Nothobranchius furzeri: one gene and its partner. The protein of the gene in region 2 interacts with the protein of the main gene of each other region in a biochemical or structural test. Links are inferred from orthologs where the notes say so. Each region holds a gene or a part of one and is shown on either strand. Other genes may lie near its edges.

What was found. The genes of interacting proteins can lie anywhere in the genome.
Region 1: the proteins of arhgap1 (region 2) and bnip2 form a complex in vitro, tested with the Homo sapiens proteins (2 studies listed by BioGRID). The link is inferred for Nothobranchius furzeri from reciprocal best matches to the Homo sapiens genes ARHGAP1 and BNIP2.

Annotation. Positions count from the first base shown.
Region 1 is NC_091744.1:67,581,393-67,584,892, forward strand, and holds part of bnip2 (BCL2/adenovirus E1B 19 kDa protein-interacting protein 2), read right to left. Parts: intron 636-3,500; coding exon 540-635; intron 438-539; coding exon 373-437; intron 60-372; coding exon 1-59.
Region 2 is NC_091743.1:81,736,646-81,740,622, reverse strand, and holds the start of arhgap1 (rho GTPase-activating protein 1), read left to right. Parts: upstream 1-1,177; 5' UTR 1,178-1,294; intron 1,295-3,977. UniProt on the Homo sapiens protein: GTPase activator for the Rho, Rac and Cdc42 proteins, converting them to the putatively inactive GDP-bound state. Cdc42 seems to be the preferred substrate.

The DNA.
Region 1 (3,500 bases), on a different chromosome or scaffold from region 2:
GCTGATGTCTGGAGCACTGAGTTTTTTCTTTGCCTTCTTGCTGTGGTTTGTTGCAAAGCCTAAAACAGACAAAAATATGCTTAGTGGTGGTTGATTTAGTTCCCAAAAGCAGATAAATGGTGTTTTTTTTTTCTGATTTGATACTCACGGGGGTTTCTGCAGAAATAAATGCAATACTTAGAATAAGTCATAACTTACACAAGTCAGGCTGCTGAGCCCTCATCGTAGTTACAGTTGAACTTTAAAATGCAAAAGCAAGGGAAAAGCGTAGGAGCAGCAACATTTCTCTTAACCTATTACCATGTGGGATCTGACAGGGGTGAGGGACCACAGATAGGTTTTCTGCAGAAATGTACAAAGTGACTTGATTACCAGGGTCGACTTCCTCAGAAGTTCCAAACAGCTCCTCTTCAAGCTCTTCCTCCTCTGGGAGGGGCCTAACGTTTAATCAGAAGTAATCATGACTGTTTAAAACATTTAAAAAGAAACAACACATTGCTAGATTATGACAATGCACCGATACACGTGACTGAAATTACCGTGGAAAATCTTCGTCCTGCCACTCTTCCTTCAGCTCGACTCCTTCCATTCGTAAACGAGCTTCCGTGGTCCTGACCAACTCCTGGCGCTCCAGGCTAAAGACAGGAATCACAAGATGGATTTGATATTCCATACTTCACAGTGATGATTCAAAAAAGACTTTTTGGATTTAGAAAAATTAAATATTTCAAATTCTGGAGCAGAGCAACATGAATAATTGGTTTTCTTGCAATGATGACTTGCAAAACTTTTGTGGAATTTTAAATGAAACCTTAAAGACAAAGTCCACTCATTTTTAGCACTTTCACACTAGCATCTTCTCCACTCGGCCTAGACCGAGTTTGGAGTGTTCTCATTTCCCGCACGCAACCGGACGTCTTTTCTGCCCTCTTCCCAAAGCGGTCTGCCTGGAGCCAAACTGGTCCAATACGCCCACTACTGACTGAGTGGCCAGCTCAAATTGATGCCTACCACTCGGGGGCGCCTCCGATTGGTGGATAGAATCAGCCCACGATTCATAATCATTCTGGATGCTGTGGAATTAACGAGCCTCTGACTGGAGTTTTTCTTTGTGCCACTGCTGTGAGGAAGCACACACACGCACGCACACACACACACACACACACACACACACACACACACACGCACACAGAGTGCTGCCAGACACAACAAAGCAGGATGCAATATCAGAGTCAGAGAGTCTCCAAAAGCAAGACTGCTCAGGCTGCTTGTTTAATAAAGGTGAAACCGCACACTTCTCTGCACGCTCTTTTGCCCTGCCAACACGCTTGGAGATGCACTCATGACATCACTGATATCCATTTTTCATGCCAATTTTGGAGACCGCTCATGTGCTCAATCACTTCCGCATTCCTAAGGCAGTGTGGAACGCGGCCAGGCTGGGGCGGGCGGAGCGGAGCCGATGCTAGTGTGTAAGTGGCTTCTTTCCCGATTTGGCCGAATCGGGGGTCAGCTGGAAACTGAATTAATCGGGAAGTAAGTCTTGTTTTATTAAACTACTTTGTTATGATTTCTGGCCAAGTTTTGCCAATCAGAATTTGACACCACACATGATTATTGTAAGCTTATGAATTGTAAAAGTCATGAAGTGTTCACTTATTCAGAGCGAAGACTGTTGACTTCTGACATTCATGCAGAGTGTGTAGGACCTTGGGAGAGAATGTTTTGTCTTCAGTATGTAAACACGCACTGAACAGAACCTTCTGGGTTTGGAAGGCCAAACAGAAAGTGGATTTATTGCTGTAGACGAAAGGTATGTTGGTCAATATATAAGAGCAAATTGACCCTTTTGGTACGTTACATATGTTTACCTAATAAAGAAAAGCCTTTAGGGTAGGGCTGGGTGATATGGACTAATATCACGACATATTGAGGATTTCACCTCGATAACGATAAATGGACGATAAATACAGGTATGTACAAAAACCAAAAGTTGTCCACTAGATGGTGCTGTCACGTGTATTACGTTGAGTCACATTTTTACGTGACTCAAGGTGGTACAGCGTCTTAAAGGGACATGAATGTCGCCACATCTTTTCACTTTCTTATTATCAAATTTATTGACATGGGAGAAATTACCTCGATAAGAGTCAGAAATTTTGATAAAGATAAATTTTCGATTAATTGCCCGACCCTCCTTTAGGAGCAAATATATTTATTTAGATTTAAATTGTGTATTTTTTAATCAAGTCCTTATTCATTTTTCTGCAGCACACCATTATTACATGGTAAATTGCCTGTATTTGTATTGCACTTTCTTAAAGTTTTACCCCCCCGCCCCAAGGCGCTTTACAACACTCAGTCATTCACACACACACACATTCACACACTGGTGGGGATGAGCTACGGTGTAGCTACAGCTGCCCTGGGGCGCACTGACAGAGGCGAGGCTGCTGACCACAGGCGCCACCGGTCCCTCTGACCACCAGCAGCAGGCAAGGTGGGTTAAGTGTCTTGCCCAAGGACACAACAGCAGCATTCTCTGGTCAGAGCCGGGATCAAACCTGCAACCTTCCGATTACTGGACAACCCGCTGTACCTCCTGAGCTACTGCTGATTAAAATCAATCACACATTAATAGAACAATTAATATCCATGCTGCATCTCAAGTTGTGCGTTTTTACTTTTTGACTGACATAATTTTCTATATTAAAGCTTCTCGGAGTTAGAAATTGTGTTTTGAGGCTTTACACATGAATCTTTTCCCCACAAAAGCCACCTTATTAACCAGATATTGTTCTCAGGGTTCTCCACTGAGGAAGTGTGCTAGCTCATTTTTCTAATTAACATACAACACAGTATACACTCATGTAAGTGGCTTCCTAAACAGCTTAGAAGCTTAAATCACAAAAACAAGACTAACTAATGCCAACCACAGTACCCCTGCTGCACAAAGCCCCCTTTGATGCAGTCATGCACATATTGGTATCCTACACATTTAACATTTCAGAGAAATGGTTGTTAAGCTTTCTGCTGATCTCTATACAACACCGGAAACCAGATGGGAAAGGAATGCCGTTCCCAGGAAAAGAAACAATCCAAGTGCAAGTTGCAACACTTGGATTGTTGAATGTTGGAATGGAAGTCAGATAATGAAGTCAAAATAAACAAAAATGTCTTAATCCATGCAGCTCTGTTCCATTAAATGGTACTTTACAAAGGTGAACTTTATAAAGGTGCCATCTGTGTGAGATTACAAAGAATATCAGCCAACTTGTTTGTAGTTTCATCAACACATTTAACAGAGAACCAAATTAAATAACCTTATCCCTGTTCCTGAACATAGAACTGTCTTTTAAAGGGGCTATAGAATTGAAAATCCACTTTTTGGAGCTTTTTACTAGGGTTGGGCATCGAGCATCAAGAACCGAGCATCGACTGGAACCGGGACCAACTGTTAGTTTTTCCCGGAATCGTTCAAAGTTTTTTTATTTTGATTC
Region 2 (3,977 bases):
TGGGCATGGTTTAAATGCCACGGGCTAGCTGAGCATTGTTTCTGACCATGTCCATCCCTTCATGACTACCAATCAATCAATCAAGTCACATCATTACTGAATTGAATATACACTATACCTGGACTTATAGTCGTCCTAACTCCTTGATTCTGTCACTGTTCCTCTCAAAAGGAACAGTGTAGAGCTGCTTCATCCGCACTCTGTGTTTGGACAATGCCCGTGTAATGGTTGTGAAGCTGATGCCATCAATATTGTCAAATATCTCATGGTCCTCCACTATTCTAGTCTGAATTTCATGCACTTTCATTGCATTATTTGCAACAAACATTTAGCTCTTGATCATTACTGAGGAGCATTCCTCTTCCTCCAGAGGGTGGAAGACGTTGCATTCTATAGAGGGGAAAAATGCATTACTATATGGTCTTATTTATACTGCAAGTTACAATAGAAGCAATCCATTATAAATGCAATACATACCTGTTGGTTTGTTGAAAGATGCGTATAATGGAGGCAACCACTGACCTCCTCAAATTGGGCTGCACTCTTTCACCAGCCTCTCTTAGTGAAAGACCATGGTTGATTACATGGTCAATGATGGTGGCACAAATTTCATCACTGACTACTGTTCTTGCAACCCTTGGAATTCCACCACCACACATTCTTATGCCTCTACCTTGCCCTCTCCTTGGACCTGCTCCTTTCACTGGGCCTGCTCTGTTCCCTTGGCCCCGTCCTTGTCCTTTTCCAGACATTGCAGTGTTTGTCCTTTCTGTTTTGTTTTTGCTATTGTGGGATGTTGTGTGTTAACATTCGCAAATACTACAAAAACAATCCATAGTTTCGTTGGGAGCAATAGCTTCTCTGTTAAGACAATGTAAGCATTATGTAAATCTGTTGATTGACTGCATATTGTGTGAAAACAACATGGAATGTGTGAATTGTGTGGCCACAAAACACTGATGCTGTGCTACTTGTATTTAGAATTTTGAAAATGTGACAGCTGGTTGGACAAATGCTTTAGCAACTGAAAAAAACTGTAAAAAGCACCAGCTAGTTGGGATTTATTTTTTAACTGCAGTCCCCCTTAAATCCTCCAGAGTGGGTCAATCCCATTGGCTGTAGCCTCAGCTCCAGGTGGCTGTTATTTTGAAAGGGAGTGAACGGAAATTTCTCCTTTTATTATGAAAATAAATCGGATAAGGGGTTGGCGCAGGCAGGTTTGTTGCTGTGACCAGAAACGACTTGGGGCGAAACGCAGTGAATGGTTACTGAAGAACTACGCACAAACAAAACGGTAAATCAACGATGTTTTGTCCTCTGCCGTGACGTTAAATCAGCTTTATCAAACCGAAACGTCAAAACGGGGGCGCGAGGCGGCTGTAGTCGTGCGCGCGCTGCTTCGTGCTCGTTTGTTGACTGATAAGGGTGGTGTTTTGGTTAAATCAGTAACACGGTCCAGTTGGACTACGGTGAATGCAATCATTCTCAGCTGCAGCTATGAACCCTAACAGTTAGGAGTGTTTATTAGAACGTGTGTGTCAGGTCTGCTGGTTTTACCCGCCGTTTGTTGCACTGCATCGCTGCTAATGTGGCTAAAGCTAGCTCTGTTACAGCTGCGTTACCGCAGGAACCCAATGATCTGGTGGCTGATTTTATCTGTCTTCTGCTCTACGCTGAGAAGGAAATGATTCGTCTTTGATGCTCCACTTCCAATTTGTCCAGCGCAACATTTTATGTACAGGCGTAAAAAGTACACACCCTGTAATTCTAAGAGTTAAAGGTCCAGGATATTAAAAGATCTGGTCATAACTTGCCTTCAGAGTTGGGTAAATATTTCTTCAGGTAACAAAATGAGTCATCACGCTACACCTCTGTTTAACTATACCTAAACCAATATGCGTGAGGTCTGGAGCATACAGGTGTGTGTTAACAGTTCCAAAGAGGAAATGCTTCAGCAGCCACTGCTGCTCATCTGTCTGGGAAAGGTTAAAGGTCAATTTCTTCATTCTACAGAGAGAACTTTAGATAAAAGAAAACAAACCCCATCTTTCCATTGGATGCGGAAGCATCACGTAAAGATGTGTTTTACCCACAAGCTCTTTTCCCACTGGGAGCATTATAGACACGTAACGGCAGCAAACGCTTTCCACGCAGCTGGGCCGTGATGTCACAAAATGACCAGAGAATTGCACGACCACTGGTGACATCAGCAGTTCACATGATCACAAGTAAGGAGAAAGATAGCAGCATGTATCTGAAAAGCTTTGTTTTATCTTCTGTTATAAGAAGATTTCACAGGTGATGTATTATTATTTTTTTACTAGATATCTGAATGTCGAAGTCCTTGGACTTCCAGGCACCGAGGTCCGTAGAAGAAACTGTGGCCCCACTAAACTGGTCTTAGAGTTGTCTCTAGGTCACAACAGATGGATGGAACCACACGTCTGGGACTCTTAAGGAGTCTAAACAATATCAGCTTGTTTTGCTGGAACTGTTACGGTATCAGCTTCGCAGGTGCAAAAAGGTTTTAACGTGTCAAAAGCTTTGATGGGTTAAAGAGGGTTTTGCTTCAGATGGCCGGTCTGAAGCTTCCTCTAGAACTGCTGAATCACCAGAGTGATCCAGTTTTAATGTTCTCATGTTATGATTTGTGTAGCCAACCAGAGGTTGACAAGTTTGAGGAATATTACCAAGAGACTCAGAAACACACGCCTTCTTAGATACCGGAGGCTCTGATCTGGGGTAAAGGGCTATCAATGTGTCACGAGTTTAACTTAACCTTACTTTGTTCTTGTGTGAGTTCAAATGGTGATGACCTTGTTATATAAACATGCTGAAACATATTTCAATCACTGTAATCATAACATAACATTCATTTCCAACTTCAATCATTGAGCACAGATTAATGAAACAGTTCATTACATTATAATTATTAGAAGTAGCAGTAAACAAACGTTTATTTAATGATTATCTAGCTTATAAGATTTAGAAGTTCATATTTAATTTAGGAAATCATTCTTTGATTTGCCAACTGATCCGAGCTGCGAGTGTTAGGCATGAAGAATCCTGTAGGACGATGAGGATGGACCTTGAGGAGCGAACAGTATTGTTGATAATTCGTTATCATGAGTTCAGAGCTGTAGAGAGGCTCTGAACTCCAGCTGATGGGATGAAGGCAGGCCAATTTAAAGGGAACACATGCAGTCTCGTGTCTCCTTTCTGACCAGATGTTGAATGGTCAAACAGTACCTAAAAACTGACCATTGCTGGACGTTACACCATGTAGACCAGAAGGGAGTGGACTCGATTTCGGATTTATTCCCACACATAGGAAACGGAAGCTAGTGTGTTTTTACATGTATTTTTAGCATGAAATATATTTTAAAACTATGAAAACAGTAAAAGCTCAACGACACAACTGCTTTAGGCTTTTAATTTTTGGGACAGCTAGATAATTCACGTACTTGTAGTTAAAAATGAATCGTCTCCCACTTCGTCCACCATTATTACAACAAAAAGAATGTCCAGTTTGGCCAGCACTTACTGTTGGACAGCCTCTGTCATCACTGTGATGTAATTGGTCTTCAAATGCGGCTTTGGCAGGATGCAGCCTCTGAATTTAGGCATAGCCAGCAAGTCTGACTTGTTTGGTTGATTGTGGAAATAAAGATAATCATTATGATTTAGCAAAATCCATCCATCTAATCATCCATTTTCTTCCAAAGGGGTTCAAATGAAGGCAACTGAACATCTTCAAAGAAGTCCAGTTGCCTTCATTTGAACCCTTTTGGATTACAATGACCTGGATGACTAAGAACCTTCACCAGCATATGCATATCCATTTTCTTCTGCTTATCCAGAGTCTGGTTTTGGGGGTAACAGCCTAAAGCCTGGTTCATGCTTCTCCGTCAGCTCCGCAAGGGACAGACTCGCACGGATTGACGGAAGCGTTTTGCCCTCATACTTCTCCGTCTCCT